Linked DNA regions of Callithrix jacchus. The protein of the gene in region 3 purifies or fractionates together with the protein of the main gene of each other region. This does not show direct contact. Links are inferred from orthologs where the notes say so. Each region holds a gene or a part of one and is shown on either strand. Other genes may lie near its edges. The genes, in order: DPCD, NOPCHAP1, RUVBL1, EPC2, ACTL6A, ZNHIT6 and NOP58.

Evidence for each region.
Region 1: the proteins of RUVBL1 (region 3) and DPCD purify together in Homo sapiens (affinity purification with mass spectrometry; 6 studies listed by BioGRID and IntAct, counting the BioPlex papers as one, with this or other methods). This does not show direct contact. The link is inferred for Callithrix jacchus from reciprocal best matches to the Homo sapiens genes RUVBL1 and DPCD.
Region 2: the proteins of RUVBL1 (region 3) and NOPCHAP1 purify together in Homo sapiens (affinity purification with mass spectrometry; 4 studies listed by BioGRID and IntAct, counting the BioPlex papers as one, with this or other methods). This does not show direct contact. The link is inferred for Callithrix jacchus from reciprocal best matches to the Homo sapiens genes RUVBL1 and NOPCHAP1.
Region 4: the proteins of RUVBL1 (region 3) and EPC2 purify together in Homo sapiens (co-immunoprecipitation; 3 studies listed by BioGRID and IntAct, counting the BioPlex papers as one, with this or other methods). This does not show direct contact. The link is inferred for Callithrix jacchus from reciprocal best matches to the Homo sapiens genes RUVBL1 and EPC2.
Region 5: the proteins of RUVBL1 (region 3) and ACTL6A purify together in Homo sapiens (affinity purification with mass spectrometry; 10 studies listed by BioGRID and IntAct, counting the BioPlex papers as one, with this or other methods). This does not show direct contact. The link is inferred for Callithrix jacchus from reciprocal best matches to the Homo sapiens genes RUVBL1 and ACTL6A.
Region 6: the proteins of RUVBL1 (region 3) and ZNHIT6 purify together in Homo sapiens (co-immunoprecipitation; 3 studies listed by BioGRID and IntAct, counting the BioPlex papers as one, with this or other methods). This does not show direct contact. The link is inferred for Callithrix jacchus from reciprocal best matches to the Homo sapiens genes RUVBL1 and ZNHIT6.
Region 7: the proteins of RUVBL1 (region 3) and NOP58 purify together in Homo sapiens (affinity purification with mass spectrometry; 4 studies listed by BioGRID and IntAct, with this or other methods). This does not show direct contact. The link is inferred for Callithrix jacchus from reciprocal best matches to the Homo sapiens genes RUVBL1 and NOP58.

The regions. Positions count from the first base shown.
Region 1 is NC_133513.1:94,544,510-94,548,677, forward strand, and holds the start of DPCD (protein DPCD), read left to right. Parts: upstream 1-1,368; 5' UTR 1,369-1,377; coding exon 1,378-1,441; intron 1,442-4,168. Other genes in the region: POLL (DNA polymerase lambda), read right to left, coding at 271-431, 1,068-1,213. UniProt on the Homo sapiens protein: May play a role in the formation or function of ciliated cells.
Region 2 is NC_133510.1:107,919,013-107,923,041, forward strand, and holds the start of NOPCHAP1 (NOP protein chaperone 1), read left to right. Parts: upstream 1-1,229; 5' UTR 1,230-1,255; coding exon 1,256-1,370; intron 1,371-3,375; coding exon 3,376-3,462; intron 3,463-4,029. UniProt on the Homo sapiens protein: Client-loading PAQosome/R2TP complex cofactor that selects NOP58 to promote box C/D small nucleolar ribonucleoprotein (snoRNP) assembly. Acts as a bridge between NOP58 and the R2TP complex via RUVBL1:RUVBL2.
Region 3 is NC_133516.1:74,067,474-74,070,491, forward strand, and holds the end of RUVBL1 (ruvB-like 1), read left to right. Parts: intron 1-989; coding exon 990-1,081; intron 1,082-2,080; coding exon 2,081-2,240; 3' UTR 2,241-2,518; downstream 2,519-3,018. UniProt on the Homo sapiens protein: Possesses single-stranded DNA-stimulated ATPase and ATP-dependent DNA helicase (3' to 5') activity; hexamerization is thought to be critical for ATP hydrolysis and adjacent subunits in the ring-like structure contribute to the ATPase activity.
Region 4 is NC_133507.1:81,631,839-81,635,338, forward strand, and holds part of EPC2 (enhancer of polycomb homolog 2), read right to left. Parts: intron 2,733-3,500; coding exon 2,643-2,732; intron 1,107-2,642; coding exon 961-1,106; intron 855-960; coding exon 511-854; intron 1-510. UniProt on the Homo sapiens protein: May play a role in transcription or DNA repair.
Region 5 is NC_133516.1:7,809,714-7,813,213, reverse strand, and holds part of ACTL6A (actin-like protein 6A), read right to left. Parts: intron 2,638-3,500; coding exon 2,576-2,637; intron 2,377-2,575; coding exon 2,262-2,376; intron 2,117-2,261; coding exon 2,036-2,116; intron 1-2,035.
Region 6 is NC_133508.1:122,939,871-122,943,370, forward strand, and holds part of ZNHIT6 (box C/D snoRNA protein 1), read right to left. Parts: intron 830-3,500; coding exon 726-829; intron 1-725. UniProt on the Homo sapiens protein: Required for box C/D snoRNAs accumulation involved in snoRNA processing, snoRNA transport to the nucleolus and ribosome biogenesis.
Region 7 is NC_133507.1:123,462,970-123,466,469, reverse strand, and holds part of NOP58 (nucleolar protein 58), read right to left. Parts: intron 1,413-3,500; coding exon 1,249-1,412; intron 1-1,248. UniProt on the Homo sapiens protein: Required for the biogenesis of box C/D snoRNAs such as U3, U8 and U14 snoRNAs. Part of the small subunit (SSU) processome, first precursor of the small eukaryotic ribosomal subunit.

The DNA.
Region 1 (4,168 bases), on a different chromosome or scaffold from region 3:
AGGCAAAAATTCTACTGGTCATTCCCTGAGAGTCCAGGGAGTCCTTTCTGATTTATAGAGGTCTTTGGGTAGAAAAGAAGATAACACAGCAAATGGCCTGTCCAAGACCCAGGACCAAGCTTAGTACAAAGCAGGTACAAACAGACCTGCAAGCCCTGGACAGGCAAAGTCAGCTCCAATATCTGATTCTGGACATGAACAACGTAGGGCTGAAGCACATGAAGGCTGAGGGTTCAAGGGAATGAGGGTTCTGAGGGTCGGTTAACTCACCTTCTGCTTCTTCTCCCTCTTCCCTCCTGGGAATCTTTGCAAGTACTTTTGATGATGCATCGGCATGAATTTTCTTCCGCTTGGGAAATGCCTTCAAGATACCCCTGGGATCCATTGAAGTACGGCTAGATCTCGGTCTGTCAGAGGGTTGACCAGGGCAGCTGTCATGTGGAAATTCAAAATTCATGCTCTCCAACCTATTTGCCTGTGGAGGTAGGGTGTTCCCTGACTAGGCCTTAGGGATAGCAGCCCAGTTCGGGGAGACAGTGCTGGGGGGGGGTCTCCTCAAACCCCATTAAACTTCACTGGTGTAGCCTAGCTTCCCACTCCCCAGCCTTTCAAAGTATTAGTCTTTCGGAGTATTAGGGGGAAATGAGAAGACTGGGACCATTGGGGGTACTTTTGAGGAGCAGGAAACAACACCATTCCTCACTGGGGTTGCTCTAAAGATTCAGCACAGCCCTACTGCTGCAGCCCCCTTCTGAAGGGCTTTACCAAAATGGGATACTGGGCTAGGGAGTGGAGCGGAGACTGGGGAGAACCTGCACCATAAACCCCACATAATCTTTCTCTACCTTCAACACAGTTGCAGAGGAAAACCTAAGGAGGGGGACTTTCGGGGGTGAGTGGGAACGCCCTGCACCTGCCCTGGTCTCAGCCTCTCGGCACGGGGGTGCTCAGCCCCACAGCTGCGGGGAGATAGGGCACGGCCGCAGCAGGTGTGAGGCACCCTCCGGATTGGAGGAGTCTCAGTCTCGCAGCTGGGGATGGAGAAGACCCGGGCAGGTGTGCTGTACCCGACGCGTACGCAGCTGGCGCAGGCCGGGGAATCCCAGCTCCGGGCTAGAGGAAAGCTGCAGCGCCCGACCCAGGCTCCAAGAGTCCCTCTCCAACCCCCGAAGTCGGTCCCCGGGTGGGTTAGACAACTGGCCAAGCTGATCATTCGCAGGTGGGCAGGAATAAATCACTTACCAGGAGAGCCAATGAGAGCGGACGAAGGGGGAAAAGCGAGCAAATGCCCAGAATAGCTTCCGAGTCAGCCGGAAGTGACCCTCAGTGGAACGGTTGCCATGGCAGCGGCCGGGCGCGCTGCTTGGCAGAGGAAAGATGGCGGTGACGGGATGGTTGGAGAGTCTGCGGACGGCCGAGAAGACTGCGCTGCTGCAGGATGGTAACTCGAGAGCCCTCGCGAGCTCCCTCGTTTTTTCCCCCCAGGGTCCACCCCACAGGAAAGGCCTCAGGGTCTGCAGAGCTGAAAGGGTCTCGGCAGTCAGCTGGGCCAGGTCCCTGCATTTGTAGATGAGGAGACTGAGGCTCAGAGATGACGTGACTGGAACACAGGTCTCCGGACACCGATTAGATTCCTCTACACCAACTCGCTCTGCTTTGAGTTTGTTGCTAATATAATAATTTCTTTCACATTCATTATCTCATTTGCTCCTCACCACTGTCCTGAGAGGTTAATTTTTCACCCCGTTTTACAGAAGAGGAAACTGAACTCCAAGAATGCTTCAGACTTTAGAGAGGAAAGAGGCCTGGGCTGTAGTTCCGACTCTGCCATTAATTCACCACGGGCTCTTCAGCCCTTTAATTTGTTTGGACCTCACTTTCATCGTCTGTAAAATGAAGTGGATGGGCTACCACTGAGGCCCTTTCCAGCTGTAATATTTTTGTAAAGTGAACGTCTTTTTTTTTTTTTAAAGACGGGGTTTCACCATGTTGGTCAGTCTGGTATTGAACTCCCGACCTCAGGTGATCCGCCCGTCTTGGCCTCCAAAGTGCTTGGATTACAGGCGTGAGCCACTACTCCCGGCCTAAAGTGAACCTCTTAATGTTTTCTGTGTCTTTAGGAGAGCTAGAGCAAGGACCAAGGGCTGTGCCTGGAAGAGGTGGGCACAGGGGCATGGATACCTAACTTTTTGCCACCCTAGGATTGGCCGATGTCGCCCCTCTGTGCACTTGGGTCCTTTCTGGACCCACTGGGGAGCCAGGTTGAATTGGGTCTGAAGTTCCTGAGGTTTCGAAGATAACAGCAGGTGATTCACATTCACAGGTAGAGGCCAGTCAAGGCAGCCTAAAGTTGGTGGAAATTAAAATCATTTGCCCTTTAGTGCAACATTTAGGGAGGCTTTTACTATGTGCCAAGCTCTAAACTTGAACTGAAAGAAAAAGATATGTTGTCCCAGGACTTACAGTGGTTGGGAAAAACATGTATGCAAATAATAAGATGTGCTAAATAGAGGTGTAATCTTGTATAAAATGGTAGGAAATAATGAAAGTGTATATGATACCTCTTTGGGGAAAGACCCAAGAGAAGTGATGATGTTTCTGGGTCCTAAATAATTAATAAGGGCAGGCACAGTGGCTCATGCCCATAATTCCAACACTCTGGGAGGCCAAGGCAGGCGGATCATTTGAGCTCAGGAGTTTGAGACCAGCCTGAGCAACTTTGTCTCTACAAAAAATACAAAAATTATGGCTGGGGGTGGTGGCTCATGCCTGCAATCCCAGCACTTTGGGAGGCCAAGGTAGGTGGATCACTTGAGGCCACCTGAGGAGTTCGGGACCAGCCTGGCCAACACGGTGAAACCCCATCTCTACTAAAAATACAAAAATTAGCCAGGCATGGAGGTGTATGCCTGTAATTCCAGCTACTCCAGAGGCTAAAGCAGGAGAATCACTTGAACCCAGGAGACGGAGGTTGCAGTGAGCTGAGATCACACCACTGCATTCCAGCCTGGGTAACAGAGTAAGTGAGACTCTGTCTCAAACAAAAAATAAAAATTAGGTGGGTGTCATGGCACATGCCTGTAGTTCCAGCTACTTGTGGTGGCTAAGGCCAGAGGATCACTTGAGCCGGGAGGTAGATGCAGCAGTGAGCCAAGGTCATGCCACTGCACTCCAGCTTGGGTGACAGAGCGAGACCCTGTCTCAAAATACAGAAGAAAAAAAAAGAATTAATAGGTGTTTGCTGAGTGAAGAAGCGGATAGTTATTCAAGGAAGAATGACTCACATATAAAGGCCCATATGTGAAGGTACATAGATGATTACTAGAGGAATAACAGAACGTTTAGTGATGTTAAAGCAGTCACTCAGTCAGAATAAACCACCTGTAACTATGTCAGGTACTATTCTAGGTGACAAGATAGAAGGGAGAATAAAAAGTTCCCTTTTCTCAAGCAGCAACGAGGGGAAGTTGTAGGAAATGAAGAGAGATTACAGATAAATTGTGATAGATTGTGACATATTGTGATAGATCTCTTATGCCTTGCTAAAGATTTAGGACATTTTTTCATAGGACAGTGGTTTTTGTTTTTATTGTGGTAACAGATACGTAACAGAATTTAGCATTTAATCATTTTTAAGTGTACAGTTCTGTGGCATTAAGCACATTCACATTGTTGTACAACTATCACCACCATCCAGCTCCAGAACTTTTTAATCTTTCTCAACTGAAGTTCTGTTTTTTGTTTTTTGGAGACAGGGACTTACTCTGTCACCCAGGCTGGTGCAATCTTAGCTTGAACTCCTAGGCTCATGTAATACTCCCACCTCAGCCTCTTAAATAGCTGGGACTACAAGCATGTGCCACTACACCTAGCTCAAGTGAAACTCGGTACCCATCAAATGCCAAGTCCTCATTCCCTCCCCCCCATCTCCCGGCAACCACCATTCTACTTTCTGTCTCTATGAATTTGACTACTCTAGGAACCTCATCTAAGTGGAATCATACCGTATTTGTCCTTGTGTAACTGGCATATTTCACTTAGCATAATGCTTCAGGTTCATCCATGTTGCCACAGTTGGATGCTTCACCACGGGCTCTGCAGGCAGCCCTTTACCTGTTTGGACCTCACTTTCCTCATCTCTAAAATGAAGTGGATGGGCTACCATTGT
Region 2 (4,029 bases), on a different chromosome or scaffold from region 3:
CTGTCAAAAAGAATGAAGCAACCAAACAACAACAAAAAAGGAAATACATTATTGACAAGGATGTGGAGAAACTGGAACTCTTGTGCACTGATGGTGGGAATGTAAAATGGTGCAGCCACTATGAAAAACAATATGGAGGCTCCTCAAAAAGCTAAGAAGTAGAATTACCATATTATCCAGTAATCTCACGTCTGGATATGTATACCAAAGCATCGAAAAGCGGGTCTTGAAGAGATATTTGTGCAACCATGTTCATTGCAGCATCCTTCACAATGACCACGAGGTGAGAGCAACCCACGCATTTGTTGAGATGAACGGTAAAAAAATGTGGCATATACATACAATGGCATATTATTCGGGCTTAAAAAAGAAGAGAATCCTGTTATGTGCTACATGTCTAAACCTTGAGGATATTATTTTAAGTGAAATTAGTCACAAAAAGACAAGTACTGTATGATTCCACTTACGTGAAGTATCTGAAGTAGTCAAGTTCATAGTAACAGAAAGTAGAAACGTGGTAGCGAGGCATGATGGCTCACACCTATAATCCCAGCATTGTGGGAGGCCAAGGTGGGTGGATCTCCTGAGGTCAGGAGATTGAGACCAGCCAGGCCGACATGGTGAACCTCTGCCTCTACACAAAAATACAAAAATTAGCCGGGCCTGGTAGTGTGCACCTGTAATCCCAGCTACTCTGGAGGTTGAGGCACCAGTCTGGGTGACACGGCAAGACTGTTTCAAAAAAAGAAAGAAAGAAGAATGGTGGTTACCAAGGGACTGGGGTAGGGGCAAATGGGTACAGAGTTTCAGTTTTGCACGATGAAAATGACGTAGAGGTCCACTGCACAACAATGTGAACATCGTTAACACCACTGAATTGTTCAATTAAAATCGGTTAAGAAGGTAGATTTTGTTATTTTTTCTCACTAATTAAAAATATAAATTTAATAAAAAAGGATAGAGGACGGCAGCCCAATGCTTTGCTCTTTATGCCCCAATTCGTTTGGCGAAATAGAGCTTTGCCAGCTCCTTTTTACTATGACAGTGTCAGAACCTTCCTTTTTCGAACAGTACGAACGGCCCAACCTCCCGCGCAGCCTCCCGGCTGCACCCACGGGACGCCCAGACCCTCTCTCCGCTCCTTACTCCGCCCACTGCAGTTTCCTCCAATCGCGGCCCTCTCCCCGCCCCCTTACTCGAGCCTCTTTCCGGCATCCGGGCCTGAGAGTGCAGGTTTGGGAGGCTTGCGGGAAGCATGGAGGTTCATGGAAATCCCCAGGCTAGCCCGAGTTGTTCGTCTCCCAGCCGGGACTGCTCGGGGGTCCCAGTGTCCAGGGAGCTGCTGACTACGGGAAGCGACGGTCGCGGAGGTGACAGGACGGACGACTACGGCGTGGGCCGCGCTTCTGCGGCGGAGGAGGCGCGACCGGAGCAGCTCGGGGCCGGTGGCTCTCTGCCCGGGCTCCACACCCTCGAGGGGAGCCTCGGGGACTTCTCCGGGGCTCCAGGGTGCCCTGCTCGCGGCAGGGGTGGGGGCTTTGGAGTGGGCACCCGGCTGCGGGCCCGGAACGGCTTCCCTAGCTAGTGGTTCTTATATTTTGCAAGGTAGTGAGCGCCCACCCCGTCAGGCGCTGCTGCCGGGCACCTCCGCTGCCCTGGAAGCTGGGACGCTCTCGAACTCTTTCGGGGAAGGGAGGGCTTTTGGTCGGGCTTCCTGGGTCGGAGCAGTTGACTGGTAGGGGGAGGCAGAGGAATATTATGTCTAACCGTCCCTCTTCCTTCTTCATACGCACACCGACCACCCATTAGTGCCGCTGTCTTGTAGAGGGAAACGTGCATCCAGGAAATCCACACAGCATTTATACACTACAGATAGAATTTAAAAGCATGAGTTCGAATCCCACCTCCACTAGTAATTAACTAGTAGGCCCTAGAGTTATTTTCATTCTCTAAGCCTCAGTTTTTGCATTTAGAAAATGGAGGTAGTAATAGTGCCTGTAGCATTTTTGTAGGAGGAGAATGCATAAAAGGGTTGGGCAGGCTGTCAATAAATACTAGGTTGAAGAAAAGGCTTTATGAAAACCCAGAGATTCCTAAGGACATGTAATAATGATAACCGAAGCCTATGTGGTGCTTATTGTGTATGCCCCAGGAGCTAACACATTTAATCCTCACAACAACCCTTTGCAGAAAATTTATTGTCTCTGTTTTATAGTTGAGAAAGTCGATACATGATTTACCATACAGGTAATTTACTTTCTGGACATCATGTGGCTGGAAAGTAGCAAGACTGGGACTTGAATTCAGGTATTCTGGCTCCAGAGTCTGTGCTCTGATCACGAATCCAGTAGGCCTTAAGTAGCAAGCATTTAGCAGATGTGTGTTGCACTGTGCTTTTCAGGTGAACAGGCTTTGTTTTTAAACCAGAGTTAAGGGATTTTTCGGATATTAGAAATAGGGCGTGCAGAGCCTTGAGTTTTGTTAGGTTCCCCTCTTGGAACTCTGATGGGATAGAGAGTTGGGATGATTCGAGTAGTGAGAGATGAGGCTGAAAAGGTAGAGTGGGTGACATAATGTAGTCAAAAGGCTGCTTTGTTTGGGTTGAACATCTTCACGGAAGGGGAAATACCAGGCAAGCATGTTTTACTAATGAAGAAACAAATGCTCGGAGGTCAGGTAATTTGCCCAGTGTTACACAACTAGTAACCGTTTCTGGCTTCGCTTAACCATTGTTTTTTTGTTTTTTGTTTTTTTTTTTTTGAGATGGAGTTTCACTCTTGTTACCCAGGCTGGAGTGCAATGGCGTGATCTCGGCTCACTGCAACCTCCGCCTCCTGGGTTCAGGCAATTCTCCTGCCTCTCAGCCTCCTGAGTAGCTGGGATTACAGGCACACACCACAGTGCCCAGCTAATTTTTTGTATTTTTAGTAGAGACGGGGTTTCACCATGTTGACCAGGATGGTCTCGATCTCTTGACCTCGTGATCCACCCGCCTCGGCCTCCCAAAGTGCTGGGATTACAGGCATGAGCCACCGCTTAACCACTCTTAATGCTCTGTACTGTTTCCTCCATTCTGTCATTACAGACCCACATTTGTCTCCTGATGAATTTCTGATCCAGAAAGGGGTAGTTTAGTGTGCATTTATTACTTCCATTGGTGATAGAGGTGAATGAGATGGTGTCAGAAAGGAGAGGTGGCTGTCCATAAAGGATTAAAATGTTGTATTGGAACTTGGAGCGCTTTTTTTTAAAAAAAAATCTTGGGGAGTATGAACAGTCAAGACTTAAGACTGGTCATGTGAGAGGCTTGCTGATGGGCCGTTGTTTTTTTTATGCTGTAGTAAATTAAGGGTGTCTGTGTGTCTATATTTTCAGGTCTATGGGACAGGTTGCTCATCAATCCCCAACCTAAGTCCAGAAAGACTTCCACTCTTCAAACAGTTCGGATAGAAAGGAGTCCCTGTAAGTACCTCTTCCCCTCTCTCACCCTCTCTAATGCTGAGTTTTGTCTAATTATGCTGTTATTTGATGGGACAGTTTCTGCCTTCATGGTCAGGTATCCACAGTCCAGTGGAACAAGTCTTACTTGGGATTTACATGATAAAGTCAGTACACAGGATCGAATTTGTTACATTATTTCTCTACCTTAAGAGAGTAACTTTTGCATGAAAAACTCCATATGGGATGAATTTTAAGAAGTCAAAAACAACTATTGTTAATTTCCATGGCAAGTTTTTTTAGAGGTTAGTGAGCCTCAAACTTAATACATATGGATGGAAAACCTCAACCACATCCTATTGAATTGGACACAATTATTTAAATGATAAATATTACTTAGAATACAGCTTAACAGGGCCAATTCTCTGTTAATTATTCTGTAGCATTGCTATATTACACATTTATAAGTATGTCCCACACTCAGACTTTCTGTATTACATGAATGTCCTCTATGAATTCACTCCTTTTTTTTTTTTTTTTTTTGAGACAGAGTTTCGCTCTTGTTACCCAGGCTGGAGGGCAATTGCGCGA
Region 3 (3,018 bases):
CCCCCAACCCCAACCAGGATCATCAGAGACTGGCTCCCCACCCCTGGAACTCCTGCCCGCAGGGTCCCGGCCTGGAGAGCTGACAGGTGAGGCTTGACATGGCCACCTCAGTAAACCTCTGGCTCTCCTCCCTCCTGGATGGCAGAAGCTGGGACTCAGTCTTTCCCAGCTCCTGGGCCTCTACCCTGGGTGTGCTTTTATGGCTTTAATTTCAACAAGGGCTTCTGGATATCTTGTTTACGAAGCTGCCAAAGTGAAAAATTCCTGTATTATATGCGGCTCGAAGTCCTGCAGTTATCTCAGCTCCACAACACACAACATCATTATCCCGGCTGCCCCTTATCACTCAGTGCTGGTGCGCCTGCAGGATCCTGGTCCACTATGTTACAGTGTCTCCGCCGCCAGCTTGCCTCCCCTCCACCTCTACGAAGATCTTCAAACTGCAACAAGCGTCAGCCTCTTCTTGATAGATTAGATATCTCCTGGTGATGTTATGAGGCCTGGTAAATTTTAAAAGTAACTTTTTTGATTTATTTAACCATCATATTTATCAAGCAAATAAAAAATGTCTCTTGCCTGAGTGCTTGTGGTACCCATGCTGGAGAGGAAGGTTAGAGCTCTTGAGGGAGCCCAGGGCAGGTTAGAAGAGGCCTCAGTTCTCTGTCTGGGGACAGGGGAGGTCAGGATGTGGAGTCAAGAGTGAGCCACCTGGGAAGCCACACACCTCCTGAGGCGCCAGCCACACTGAATCAGTTGAACACAGCACACTGGCCGTGATGCCATTCATGCATACTTTGGGGCCATACATGCCTGGAAGGTGCTGGGCTGGCAGTGCTGGGCAGGTGTTGGCTCCCTGCCCACCAGCCCAGGTCTTGGTTTCTCTTACGCTGCACAGTGAGAAATACTGAGTGACATTGTCTTTAAAGTACTTTAGAAATGGGGTGCTTGAGGTCAGTCACTGTTGATTGTGTTTTTTTCTCCTCTAAAAGATCATTAAAATCCGCGCCCAGACGGAGGGAATCAACATTAGTGAGGAGGCACTGAACCACCTGGGGGAGATTGGCACCAAGACCACACTGAGGTGAGCTGGTACCCTGAGCCCACCGGGGCCTCCTCAGCACAGCCAGGGCCCTCGCTGTGGTCGTTCTGGGCAATAAAGGCAGGTCCCCTCCCAGGCCACAGTACTATATCCATCTGCTCTTCCTGGTGTGTTGGGTGCCAGGGCAGTTGAGTTTCAAATGCAGAGGATCTAGCTGATGGTTTTTAACAGGGTAGAGTAAGGCCGAATTCCCTGTTTCCTACAGCAGATTCTCCCCTCTTGTGGAGAGTGCTTTGACCCTGGGCCTTCTTGTGGCAGAGAAGGTGCACAGAACTAGAGAGCAGGGCCCATGTGGCAGCTCATTAGCCCGGGCCCTGGCTCCTGTTCTCCTGCTGATATTATGAGACCTGGGAAATCTTTAACATTTTTATTTAACCATTATATTTATCAAGCAAATAAAAAATGTCTGGGGGCCTGCAGACCATGTCCTTAACAGTGGCCTAACTTATTGTAAAATCATTGCTTCACAGTCCTCAGCCCTTCCCAACATCCCTTGAGTCAGTTCTTGCTCCTGAGGTTGAAGGCAGAGATGCAAGCTGTGAGATCTGGAAAAGGGGGACTTTTTAAATTGACGGAGTCTTCGTGCCTTTCGATAGGCATGTACTTCCAGCTGGCCGTGTTTTCGTTTCCCTGCCATGTTAAATATCCCTATCTGTTAGGCACCTGTATACATCTAAGTTTGCAGTCCTTTTCCAGTAGCAGTGGCGTTACTTCCTATTGGAGAGAATTTGTAGACTGTACTAAAGATTTGGGGAAAGCACTTAAGTCTTGTTCGTGGCTCCTGGCCCGTCTCTCATGGGGTAGTGACTGCAGCTCTCTGAGAAGTGACAACTTTGTTTCCACTTCTCTGTGTTCACAACAGCTAGCACAAGCCTAGCATTTGGAACTGCCTCTGGTGCCAGTGCTGCCTACTGATTTGGGGGAAGGGGCTTCCTTTGGTGGCCCCAGTTTCACTTCAGCCTTGGCCTCTGTCCACTCTAGGTACTCAGTGCAGCTGCTGACCCCGGCCAACCTGCTTGCTAAAATCAACGGGAAGGACAGCATTGAGAAAGAGCACGTTGAGGAGATCAGTGAGCTTTTCTATGATGCCAAGTCATCCGCCAAAATTCTTGCTGACCAGCAGGATAAGTACATGAAGTGAGATGGCTGAGGTTTTCAGCAGCAAGAGACTCTCCAGGTGTGCCTGGCCCAGTTCTGGACAGCTCGCCCCTGGGCTTGGGGCTGCTGTCCCACTCAGGCGTGGTCTGCAGTGCTGTCAGTTCAGTGTGGAAAGCATTTCTTTTTAAATTATCATAACTTTTCCTGTGGTTGCTTGTAAAGAACCCTTCCTTACCTGGTGTGTTTTCTATAAATCTTCATAGGTTATTTTGATCTCTCTCTCTTCTTTAAGTTTTTTAAAAATAAACTTTTCAGAACAGTTTTAGATGTACAGAGTCATTGTGAACACACAACAGGGATGTTCACATGTATCTCATACCCAGTTTCCCTTATTGTTAACATGTTACAGCAGATAGCACATTTGTCACAGTGAATGACCAATACCGATGCATTATTATACTGCATTCATATTTTCTCTGTTTTAATTAATGTCTTTTCTTCTGTCCCAGGATTCCATCCATGATACCCCATTACAGGTAGTTGTCATGTCTCCTTAGATGTCTCTTGGCTGTGACATTTTCTTAGATTTTCCATGTTCTTGATGACCCTGACAGTTTTGAGGAGGACTAATCAGGTATTCTGCAGAACATCCCTCAATTGGGCTTTGTCTGATGCTTTTTTCATGAGTAGACTGGGATTGTGGATTATGGAAAGAAAGACCTCAGAGGTAAAATCCAGTTTTCATCACATATCATGTGCGGTTCTTATCACATGCTAGCAACATGATGGTGACCTTTACCATTTGGCTGAGGTCAAGTTTT
Region 4 (3,500 bases), on a different chromosome or scaffold from region 3:
CTATACTCCAGACTGGGCGACAGAGTGAGACCCCATCTTAAAAAAAAAATTATTCATAGAGTCTTCTAAAAATCATTTTCAGAAAGTGTTTTCAAAGGTACTCTCAAGAAGCAATAGTTACATTTAATCAAAGTTCAACACACCAAAATGAAAACTACCTTTAACATAAGCACCAGATAGTACTATGCTGTGATGATCTAGTGGCAGCTTATAAGCAGGGTGCCCATAGGGAAACACTGTATGCATTCTGCCTACATTGATCATACCAGGCACACACTCAAAATAGATGTCACTGGTTTTACAGCACTGGTTAGGGCAATTTGGTTAAAATGTGAGGCACAACAGTACAATTTGGTTTCTAGGTTGGAAAAAAAAATGTAGTAAAGATAAAATTCCTTTCCTAAGTGGGAAAATAAATCTTCAAATTTTACCCTGAGAATTTATTTAGTAGATAATAAAATTAAGTGGAAAAGAATAGCAGGATATACTTTTAACACAGCAACAGCTTACCTGATATGCCATTCTTGCTGGTGTTCAATAAAGCTAGAGATGCCGCAGAAACTCTTTTATTGTTCACAGTCTGCCCTGGTTTTCTTGAGGTACACTCTTCACTATCACTGTCCTGTAAATTTAGTAGCCTTGGCTGGAAACACTGTAGTCGACATGATCTGATATTGCTTAATATTTCAGAAAGGGACAGTCTATTTTCACAATGTTTACTAGAAGCATTGGTCCGAGAGAAATTAGAAGAAAAGTCTGTAGTTTGGGAAGAGCTTGAAAAACTATTCAGCATTTCAGGGTCTATCTGTTTCAGGACTGGGTCATGTTCTGTGGATATTCGGTCCATTATGACCCTGAAAAGCAAAATAAAACCAAATATTAACTGACAGAGCTTAACATTTTCTCTTGGTCTTCTGTTCCATATCGTAAACAAAAACCAGGTGAAAACAAATACTTCACCTTCCACCCCTGCCAATTCGCCTCCTTGCAAATCCTATACATCTTCTCGGGACTGTAAGTGTTGTAAGGCAATGCCTATACCTCAACTTATCCAAATCTGCCAATTCTGAATTTTCACATGAATGGTTAGCTTGGTCCAAACGAGGCTGCAAATAAAGAAAGAAAGAAAAACCCATGGAATAAATCTGAAATGAAGACAGGTTAGATCATGATAAAAATGAAGCAACTGCAACATTAGCGGAACAATTAAAATTTCGACATGAAACTATTAATCAGGTTAAATTTTATAAAACCGAATCAAAAGTTCACTAACCAAGATTACCCAAGATTACCCAAACTGAATTTAGTTTATAAATTCATTTAGGGTCAATTATGCTTAAAAAGGAATATATCTTTAAAATAATACAGCTTTTAACATTTGCGTACAAAGTAGAAATGGTGAAATTACAGAGTAATTTTTAGGTTTTCTACTGAGAACCAGAAAGAATATTTTTTGGACTAAAAATCGCACTTCAAACACTTATGGGGTCAAACTGAAGCTTCCTCTTCATTTTTAAGAAACATACAACCAAGTGGAACACAGTGGCTCATGCCTGTAATCCTAGCACTTTAGGAGGCCAAGACAAGAGGATTACTAGAGATCAGGAGTTCAAGATCAGCCTGGGCAATGTAGCAGGACCCTGTCTCTACAGAAAAATACATAAATTAACAGCATGTGGTTGTGTGTGCCTGTAATCCCAGGAGGCTGAGGTGGGAGGACTGCTTGAACCTATGAGTTTAAAGTTACAGTGAACTGTATGACTGCACCACTGTACTCCAACTTGAGTGACAGAGCAAGACTCTTTCTCATAAATACATACATACATACACACACATATACATACAAACAGCCTGTTCCCTGCCTTCCCATTCCCTCCATCATTCTGTCATGCTATGTCTGTCCCTTTTCTTAAGAATTTTCCTTTCTCTCATCAGCATAACCAGTAGACAAATCACCTCTTCTAAATTTACACACCCTAAAAAAGTTGTCAGTGTATGTTTACCATCATGTTATAAGATATATGATCTCTACAAGCCATATAAGAAAGCCAAAGCCATCCTTACAAGGCTACATTACACTTCATCTAAGAACCTTGGAGAGTGATATAATTTGACTTCATAGCATAAAGCAACTTCTATGTGTGTTAAAACAGCTTATAAATAGCCCAAAAAAGCCACCACCACAATTTTTAGACAAAACATCGCCATTAGGAAAGTTCAAAAATTATTACTTTGTTTGATACTTATTGGTATGTATGCACAAGATGGGCTTACATAACAATAAATTTCAGTAATCACCTAGCAGCCATCAAAGGTTCTAGACTCAACTTACAAATTCTGGGTTTTCCTAATTCTAGTAATGACATACCAAGTAATTTTCACAACTGCTGAAGTTATAATTAGAGCCCAAAATGAAACTAAATTTCTAAAATGTGAGGAATTATCAATTTCTAAGAGGATTTCAATACCCTTTGAAAGGACTCAGTACCTTTTAAGCATCTTTTACCAGTATCCACATAAAGGATGTTAAATAAAAAGTACTGATGCACTTCCCATTTTTAGATCAAGACTAAGTCATCTTGACATGGGTTACCTGTTAATTCCAGTTCACAAAAACACCACACACACAAAAAAGTTCTTACAGCATAATATTGGCATCCTGCCCGCCTTCTGAAAGCACAGGGACCATCAGGATCATTTTCTTCTTCTGGTTCTGATACTGGGGACAATACCTAGACAAAAAAGGCATTCCATTTATGAGTTATCAAAAGATCAATGTTTGTAATGCTGTAAAATTTAAATCTGATCACAAACAGTAAATCACTTCTATATTATATATAGTAGGTGCTGAATTCCCCAAAACATTCAATGACTAGTAAAAATGTTCTATGGCTAAAAATCCTTATTTTTAATGGATTAGTTCTTAGAGGTTAACTGTACCTGGCATTGCTTGATTGCTTCTAAACATGAAATGCTACTGACTTAGAATTAATATAGTTTGTATACATCCCACTATATTTTATAAATAATGTAATAATGTATGTGGCTATAAATATTTAATGATGACAGTTATATTTCACCTATAGGTAAGTTTATTTTTATTCAATAACTTTATCTCTCTGTAATAAAGCCAAAAACTAGGATGTAAAAACAGCTTATAAATAGCCCAAAGAAACCACCACAACAAAAAAACCAAAGTCATAAAGGTCAGATTTTACTCAAAGAAAAGTCTTTTATCTCCCCACTCATTTCCTAAAAATTATTTTGTAAACTTAATAGACCAGAAGCAGAAAATCAGAAGAGAAAAGAAAACTTGCTAAGGTAAGTAGATTGGTTACAAAGATGTGATAAGCCAACTACCCTAAAGAAAAAGAATAAAGACTTTCAGAAAGCTGTCACATTATTAGAAAGCACTGTGCCCAGACCATGTCATATCAGGCCAAATATCCCTATGTAATTGAGTGGACCTCTAGGGCAGTCGCACTGACCCATTAGAGGGC
Region 5 (3,500 bases), about 66 Mb from region 3:
ATCCAGGCAAGATTACTTTTAGAGACGGGGTCTCGCTATATTGCCTACATTGGAATGCAGTGGCTATTCACAGGCACTATCATAGCGTACCACAGCCTCAAACTCCCGGCTTCCAACAATCCTCCTCCTGTCTCAGGCTCCCAAGCAACTGGGACTACATGCCACTGTGCCTGGCAGGCATGCTTTTTAACTCCCAAGATTAGTTTAATGTGCACAAAGTTTTAAGAACCGCTAACTTAAAGGAATCGTCCTAAAAATGATCATTTTTTTGGCAGATAGCTGCCAATAATAGAAGTGTATTTTATAACAACTTTATCTTAGAATGCTCATCTGGAAAATTTAATACCAACCACCAGCCAAAAATTAAAATTACAAATATTTTGAAAAAGAATGCTTATCTGGAAGTTAGGATATTCAAAATTTATGATTATGATGGACAAAGATGAACTCTGAACATAATCCTGTCCAAAATGATTGCTACCTTTCTCTTTTGCAGAGGTATGCATCAGAAGTACATGGGAGTTTTCTAAAACACAAGTGAGGCTTCCCCAAATAAAAATAAACTACTACTTATACAAAATATATTTACTTTGAATTTGCATGTATGCTTCAGAAGGTTAAAAGTCAACCTGTTTTAGTGGATAAATTCCTATTTTTAAAACATATTCAAAATGTCTAAATCATCTAAATTTTGAAGTAGAAAATGGAATAAAAAAGTACCTCATTAGTTAAAAGGAGAAATTTCACTAAAAATAAAGTTACCACTGTTGCAACAAATATACTTCAATTACCTTTCCCCAAAGGTGGACTTGTATGTGCGCTAAAAAAAAAAATCCCAAACTGACACTCCTATTGGTCCTTGAAACATCACATGCCTGCTAGGTTTCCGGTGAAATAAAGTATGATTTTCACAGCCACTCCAAGTCTTTTCTGAACAACATAGTAGCTGTTAGCACTCTATGCTTTAAGCAAATTAATTTACTCAAAATCCAGGCAGTCTGCGAGCAATAAGCTTAATCGAATCGGGTTTAAATAAGATGACGTCAGTCCTCACTTAATGTCATCAATATGTCCTTGGAAACTGACTTTCAGGAAAACGACGTAACAAAACCAATTTTTTTCCTGAAACAATGTCCTTCAAGAACCTACTGTACATCATTTCACTTAAAGTTGCAGTCTCCAAGGTCCTATCACTGATAATGAGTGAAGTATATAACATGGGGCTAGTATTTAAAACCTGACAAAGCACAAAAAAATATGAAGATCATCTAATATGAACTTCATGTAAAAGTTACTCATATAATTTAAAACACACCTTCCTGAAAAAGAAATGCAGAAGTTGTGCTATCTTTAAGAAAATCACCAGGGGCCGGGCGCGGTGGCTCAAGCCTGTAATGCCAGCACTTTGGGAGGCTGAGGCAGGTGGATTACGAGGTCAAGAGATTGAGACCATCCTGGTCAACATGGTGAAACCCCGTCTCTACTAAAAATACAAAAACTTAGCTGGGCATGGTGGTGCGTGCCTGTAATCCCAGCTACTCAGGAGGCTGAGGCAGGAGAACTGCCTGAACCCAGAAGGCGGAGGTTGTGGTGAGCCGAGATCATGCCATTGCACTCCAGCATGGGTAGCAAGAGTGAAACTCCGTCTCAAGAAAAAAAAAGAAAATCACCAATAATACATATTTTGGTTGGCCACATTTCAGGAAATCTCCAGCGTGGCACCTTCTATAAGAACTTTCTGTGATGATACAAATGTTCTGTATCTGCCCTGCCTGATGAAGCAGCCACCAGCCACATGTATAATGAGGCTACTATAACTGAAGAGCTGAATTTTAAGTTTTTATTTAATTTAAATTGCTACATGTGGCAGGTAGCTACCAGTCCGGACTCCATAGCTCTAGAGTTTTGACTTTTCCTTTTTCAGTACTTCCTCTTTTTATATCTACTGTTATAAAACAAACTTCAAAGTCAATGACACTGACAACCTAACAATGACTTGGAGACACGTCAGTACCCTAAAAGATCTGGCACTTACTGGTCTGATATCAATATCACACATCCCAACACTTGTGGTGACAACGTGACTGACTCCTAACATTGTGTTTCCTGATAACCCCTACAACAAAAGAAAACAAAGAGTCACATGGAAGAACTTCAAACAGTTAAAGCACATCCAAAACGTTTTAGTCTTATTTTATAATCACAAACACTCCTTACACATATAGAAAAAGCCAGGCTCATTATGAAATAAGCTTTTATACCTTTACATTGGAAGGGTCAAATAATCCTTCCGGAATTTTTAGCCGCTCTGCACCAAAATCACAATTGTAGCCATTGGGGAATTCATAATGAACAGTTGGCATCTGTGCAGCCACTCTGAAAACGTATTAAACAGTATCACACAAAAGACAAAATTAATTCTCTTCGAAATGATAAACTACTAGGGAATTATCAACTTTTAAAATAATGGGAGTGAGAATATTTTAAGCATTATTCAATTAAGTACGTTCCATGATATTTTTTAAACAAATCCTTTCCTTATTTATAAAGTAACAATTTAAATAAGAAAACATACTGTTCATCATAAGTTGAATCCGACACTTGAAGTACTGAAGCTTGAAAATCCTGGATAACACACTATGAGTAAAAGAAAAAAGTTTAAAAAACAAGGTTGAGATTTATCTTTTTAATCTACACTTTTATAACATATTTTAAATACTTTTCGGAATAAAACTGGACCCTGTTTCTGTATGGGTAAATAATTTCAAGAGTATAAATCTACCTCACAAGGATTCTGAGTATCAAGAAACCCAACGCTAAACATTTGCATTAGAGGCTAAATTACACACATTTAAGTTACGACAGTTATGAAACAATCATAAGAGGTAAACAACAGGGAACCCCTGCACCACAGTCCTGCATAACAAAACCAACTTCAGAAGACCAGTTTCTCCTTAAAAATAAGCTAGATTAGAAGCAACATATATACATCACATTTTATGCAACTTTTAATGACTGTACAGTGTATAAAACAGTTTAATAAAATGCTATGAACTAATATGACCTCTAGAAAAATCTTGTTTAGTATCTAGAAAAAAATGACTAATCATCCTAATTTTTCCTCATATTAAAAAAATCTTCATTTTTAGGTACAAAAACTGTCAGATAGAGTGGGGTGCAGTGGCTCATGCCTGAAATCTCAGCACTTTGGGAGGCTAAGGTAGGAGGATCAGTTGAGGCCAGGAGTTCAAGACCAGCCTGGGCAACACAGGGGTGGCTCACACCTGTAATCCCAGCACTTTGGGAGGCCAAGGCAGGCAGATCATGAGGTCAGGAGAGCAAGACCATCTTGGCTAACCGGTGAAACCCCATCTCTACTAAATAGTCCTAGCTACTCAGGAGGCTGAGGCAGGAGAATCACTTGAACCCAGGAGGCGGAGGTTGCTGTGTGCCAAGATTGCACTACTGCACTCCAGCCTGGGCAAGAGTGAGACTCTGTC
Region 6 (3,500 bases), on a different chromosome or scaffold from region 3:
GTTGGCTACTTAAAGTACTTTGGGATCCTATTCTCCTCAGTATTTTTGGGGCCTTTTCAACTCAACATTTTTCAGACAGCAGCAAACTAATCTGTTACATTATCTATACTGAAAAGAGTTCAAAGTCCCCTTCTTCTCCATTGACAGCTTTTAAATGAAATCTTTAGAAACCCAATGCAGAAAAAATATAAAAGCAGAGCTGCCTTGATTAAAACATACAGGAGTCCTGCTTTTACTTGCTGTTTTGTCCTGGAAGCCCCTGAAATACTTTCTTGGCATCTTAGGTGTCAAAGAAACAGTTTATTTCTAATGTATGAGAGTGTTCTAGGGTGCTGCTACTCAAAATATGTTCCTCAAACAATCAGCATCACTGAGGAGTTTGTTAGAAATGCACAATATGAAACTTCAACTCAGGCCTACTGAAAAATCACAACGAGCATATTTAACAAGATGCCTAGGTGACTGATAGGCACATTAATGTTTGAGAAGTTTCTCAAATGATATGAAGAAACACACACACACAGACAAACACACACACACTCTGCAGACCCAAATTTTTATTAGAGTTACATGACACACAATTACTACAGCTATCTTGTCATGGACCAACAACAAACAGTTTACAGACTCACACTTGGGGTAGCAATGCTCTATAGCAACCAAACCTTAAACGGTGATCCTGATCAAATCACAACACCTGATATACTAAGAAGTTAGAAACTTACTTCTTATCAAAAAATGTTGAATTCTCCTTCCTCTTGGTGAATCCGTTGGGTAGAAGTTTTAAATTAATACCTTGCCTTCGGGCACGATTTTTCATAAAGTACATCTACCAACCAAAACCAAACAGACAAATTAACTTTTAAATGCTTCAAATTTAAAAAGTGAGTGAAACAATTGTTCAATAATAGTTTAGATTTACTGAAAACCTAAGTGTTACAACAGCTCTAAGAAGTAATCTCATGTAATCTTCACAATGATACTATCAGAATAGGTATTATCATCTCCATTTCAGCAATAAGAATTAGTGAGATACCAACATTATACAGCTATCCCAGAGAGAAAGAACCTGTATTCAACCCAGGTCTAATTCTAGAGCTTGTGTTTTTAACCATAAGTGCTATGAGTCAAAGAATAATTTAATGGAGATTAAAACAAACAAACAAACAAACAGGTCATTTGGCAATCATAGGGGCTACCTACACAATTCTTGATTGCTTTTACTGATGGTTTTACCAGTTAGTTGTATGTATCCCTGATTTTATTAGTAGACAATTCACTCAAGGGAAGAGCCATGGCACTGCCTAGTACCAGGCCTAGCTTAAAGTAGCCACTGTTGTGTGAAGCACAAAATGGGATATGAGAACATTCTTGCTTTGACATGTGTACTACATTGACCACGTGGGTTGATTAAAAGCTAAACTGGAGAATTCCAGAGTTACGAAGGAATTAATACCAGATTTTTTATTAAGTCAAGGAAAAAGATCACTCAAAGAAAAGGTAAAGTATAAATGCAAGTTTTCTGTTAAATGAATATGGATCTAGAATTTGCAATGTAAAATGGTAGAGTCAGAATCAAGTCATGAGCCAAGGGAAAGAATGGGTCAGCTATCACTGGCTAAGCAGGAAACTGTCTGAAGAAATTGCATGTAATTTTCTAACTTAGAGGACTTTGGTTTCAGTAATGGTATTGATTACTATAAATAATTATAATAGCAGTGATCAATCCTCCCAATATACCTTCAGGAAAAGGGTGAACCAGAAACTATCACTATTTTGAGAGCAAGCTAGGGAACTTGTATGGTTACACTGAAATAGAGGAAAAAAAAAAGTCCATTAGCAGCTATGGCTATGGGCCATCCTTTGCTTAGATTTGCAATTATTTTGCCTTGCAAACATCAATGAATAGCCAAACACTAGAGAAAAGGAAGTGGGAGGCCTTAATCAGATAACAAGTTTCAGTAAAAAACTAAAATAATTGAGAGAGTAGTATTGGTGCAGGATAGACCAGTAGGTCAATGGAATGGAAAAGACAAGCCCACAAAATAACCCAAGCATATAGGGATGCTGATATATAACAAAGGTGGTCCTACAGAGCAGTAGGGAAAGGATGAACTTTCCAATAAATGGTGCTGGGAAAAGTGGATCATCTATATGAAAAATTAAATGGGACCTTCTCTGTACATGATACCAAAAATCAATTCCAGTTAAAGACATAAGTATAAAATGCAATAGTATAAAGCTTTTAGGCAATAATTATGAGGGAATAACTTCCTAACTCTCATCAGAAATTAGAGAACTGCACATTGAAAACCATAATAAAATTACATAGCCAACAGATTGACAAAAATTTTTAAAGTCTTACCAAATTAAGTATTGGTGAGAATATGACAACAGGTACATTTATACACTACTGGTGAGAGTGTAAACTAGTATATCACTTTGGAAAATGTTTTGGTAACATCTAGGCAAACTGAAGATATGCATACCATAAAACAAAGCAATTCTATTCTCAGGTATAAACCCTAGAAAAACATCTTCACACACATAAAGATCAGGGAAGGGCATAAGAGGGTGGCATGGAACTTCTGGGAAGCCAGTAATGTTCTAATTCTAGACTTGGGTGGTAGTTACATGAATGTTCATTTTATAATTTTTCATTATACTGTGTATTTCCATTCTGTGACTTTCTAAAACAAATACATGCTGTATTTTACAATTAAAAAAAAGTTTTAAAGTAATTTATCTCTAAGTAGAATTTTAATTGTGCCTAATTAAGTTTGAGGAAAAATAAGAGTTGCTGTATAAATAATTTTCTTTCAGATACATGTAATATAATACCAATAAAAAATGCCAATACCAATAAAATAAGGTATTTAAAAGGTATTAAAATCCTGCAACTCCAATACTAAAATGAACACAATTGCAGGATATGATTTAATCATACCATGAACGAATTTTTGTAACGCCAGTTGCCAAACATTCCAAATATGTAAGCTGTACTTCTGCATAGTATTTAAGGAATGAAAAAGGCAATGCAAGAGTATGAAAATTAAGTGTATTAGAATAGCAAGTCTTAGCTTTTCCTTCAAAATCAGAATCTAATCCCCTCTCAATAATTCTAAGGGCATACCCAAGCCACTATTATCTCACAAGGATCACGCGAAGAGCTGCATAAATGGTCTCCCTGCTTCCAATCTTCCACTCTTGCCTCCCTAAAGTCCACAGAGCAGCAAGAGTGGTTTTTCAAAAGGCAAATTTTTGTCCAAAATCCTTCCATAGTTTCCATTTGCACTTAGAATTAGAAACCCTCACCAGTTTCTTTTTCTTCTTTCTTTTTCTTTTGAGACAGAGTTTCACTCTGCTGCCCAGGTCGGGGTGCAGTGGTGCAATCACAGCTCACTGCAGCCTTGACCTTCCTGGGCTCAGGTGATCCTCCTACCTCAGCTTCCCAAGTTGTTACAGGGGCACACCATCATGCCTGGCTAATTTTTGTATTT
Region 7 (3,500 bases), on a different chromosome or scaffold from region 3:
CCACGTTGTCCAGGCTGGTCTCAAACTCTGTCCTTGTGATCCGCCTCCCTGACCTCCCAAAGAGCTTGGATTACAGGCATGTGCCACTATGCCTGGCCTTTTTTTTTTTTTTAAACATTTTTATTTTATTTTTTTGAGACCAAGTTTCGCTCTTGTTACCCAGGCTGGAGTGCAATGGCGCGATCTCGGCTCACCGCAACCTCGGTCTCCTGGGTTCAACCAATTCTCCTGCCTCAGCCTCTCGAGTGGCTGGGACTACAGGCATGCACCACCATGCCCAGCTAATTTTTGTATTTTTAGTAGAGATGGGTTTTCACCATGTTGACCAGGATGGTCTCGATCTCTTGACCTTGTGATCCACCCATCTCGGCCCCTCAAAGTGCTGGGATTTATAGGCATAAGCCACCATGCCTGGCTTTTTTTTAACATTTTTAAACTTTAGTTTCTACTCAGTGACATTAGTTCTGTGCCTTGAGATCATTCAGAACAAGTGCATCTTTAACCCATAATAATCTTAAATATGTGTGGTTCTTTTTCTTAAGTTTATTTTATTGAACCCTTTATTACCTCTACCATTCTACTCTAGATTTTATCAAATTTCAGTTTAGTTCTGTTAAACTACACATCATTCAAAAAGACTGAAAGTACTTAACTTGTCTAAGCCTCAGTTTCACCATCAGTAAAACAGAGATACGTATATCTCATAAGGCTATTACAAATTTAGGCCAGGCACGGTGGCTCACACTTGTAATCCCAGCACTTTGGAGGCCAAGGCGGTGGACCATGAAGCCAGGAGCTGGTGAACATGGTGAAACCCCATCTCTACTAAAAATACAAAAAACAGCTGAGCATGGTGGCACGTGCCTATAGTCCCAGGCTTCAGCTGTTGGTCAGGCTGGCCCAACTCCTGATCTCAAGTGACCTGCCTCAGCCTCCCGAGGAGCTGGGACTATAGGCGCCCACAACCATGCCTGGATAATTTTTCTATTTTTAGTAGAGATGGGGTTTCTCCATGTTGGTCAGGCTGGTCTCAAACTCCTGACCTCAGGTGATCCACCCACCGCAGCCTCCCCAATGTTGGGATTACAAACGTGAGCCACCGTACCCCACCACAAAATGCTTTTTACATAACTCACCTTTCTCTATTTAACAAGAAAGAGATTATACGAAGATTTAATATGCACTATAGAGAAAAGTGGTTATATAATAAAAAAGTCCAACCTCAAAAAACAAAACCATGTAACACACCTTTCCTTTGTGCTTGGGACTTGTCTGGCCGACGAGTGAAGCATGATAAATGAGACCATACTTAGGGGTATCCCGTCTAGATTTGAGGGCTCTGAAAAGTGCCTTTTCTGCTCCAAGAATTTGAACTGTAGAAGCTGCATGCTTGGCCAAATTCAAAAGAGAACCTACAAAAGAAGAAAGTTACAAAGAATGCACTTCCAAACATCTGAATGTTCCATGTACTAAAACAAAAGACCTATAGAATTATTATGCCCACCATAATAAAATAAAAATCACATATAATACAGAATTCTTTAAGCCAGAATTCCCTAAAAAGCCTGATGTTTCGTTTCTAATTCCTTCATCAGTACAAGCAGGTTTGTGATGAATGCCTAGGGCAAACTGAAGGTTAAGCTTTTTAGTTCAATGTTTCTATTCACCCCAGAGATGGTAGTACTATTCTATATTCCATTAGTATACTACAGGAGTAACACAAATATGTCACACACGAGAACACTAATCTGGCCCCTATTTTCTGAGATTGTATTAAATATTCTATTGCTTTAGATATGAAAAAGCCTGGCCAGGCACGGTGGCTCATGCCTATAATCCCAGCACTTTGGGAGGCCGAGGCGGGTGGATCACAAGGTCAAGAGATCAAGACCATCCTGGTCGACATGGTGAAACCCCATCTCTACTAAAAATACAAAAATTAGCTGGGCACGGTGGTGCACGCCTGTAGTCCCAGCCACTCGGGAGGCTGAGGCGGGGGTGAGCCAAGATTGTGCCATTGCACTCTAGCCTGGGTAACAAGAGCGAAACTCCGTCTCAAAAACAAACAAACAAAAAGATATGAAAAAGCCTACAAACAAACACATTTATTAGGACATCTCGGTAGCATAACCCTATAATAAATTCACAACTTATTTACTTCTGTTGATTCAGCTGTGGATTAAGAAAATATATTCCTAGAAGTATACTAATAGTTCCCTATCTGTGGTTTCAATTAACTGTGGTCAACTGCAGTCTGAAAATATTAAAAAGGAAATTCCAGAAATAAACAGTTCCAAAGTTTCAAATCTCTTGCCACCGCACTCAGTCCCCATATTCAGATAGGGAGAATATGAATTATCCCTATCTACCCATTAGTCACTTTCCTAGCCCTCTCCACAGTGCAATATTGCAGTGCTTATGTTCATGTAACCAATGCAGAAAAATAGTGACACTGGGATATTGTCATAATTGTTTTATTATTACTGTTGTTGATGTCCTACTGTATCTAACTTATAAATTAAACTTTATCATACGTATGTGTGTTTAGGAAAAAACAGCATATACAGCACAGAGTTCACTACTATCCTCTGTTTCAAACATCCATGGGTGGGGGTGGGGGGGCTCAGAATATATCCTCATGGATAGCTGGGGACTACTGTACTAGTGAGTTATCAACATACTGCTTAGCTGGAAATGTTGTATAGAATATTTCCTGTCAGAAAGCACACTCACCATTAATGCTACAAACTTTACCATGAGACATATTTTTTAAAGTGCAACAAATACATACTTCTTTTTTTGAGATGGAGTTTTACTCTTGTCACCCAGACTGGAGTGCAATGGCACAATTTTGGCTCAGTGCAACCTCCGCCTCCTGGGTTCAAGAGATTCTCCTGCCTCAGCCTCCTGAGTAGTTGGGATTACAGGTGAATGCCCCTATGGCCGGCTAATTTTTGTGCTATTAGTAAGAGACATGTTGGCCAGGCTTGTCTCAAATTCCCAACCTCAGGTGATCCACCCACCTCGGCCTCCCAAAGTACTGGGATTACAGGTGTGAGCCACGGTGCCCAGCCAACAAATACATACTTCTATTAACCCCTGCCATCGATTAGTGCTACAACTTTAGCTGTATGCATGAAAACAGGTGAAGAAAATGAAATCATCTGATCTTACAGCTGCAGGCACTTGAATGAAACCTCTGATTAATGATGCAGCTAAAGAAATTATGCCAGACTGCACGCAGTGGCTCCTGCCTGTAATTTATCCAGCACTTTGCAAGGCCGAGGCAGGTGGATCACCTGAGGTCAAAAGTTTGAGACCAGCTTGGCCAACACAGTGAAACCCCATCTCAACTAAAAATACAAAAATTAGCCAGGCATGGTGGTGGGCGCCTGTAACCCCAGCAACTTGGGAGGCTGAGGCAGGGGAATTGCTTGAACCCGGGAGGCAGAGGTTGCAGTGAGCAGAGACTGTGCCACAGCACTCCAGCCAGTGCAACA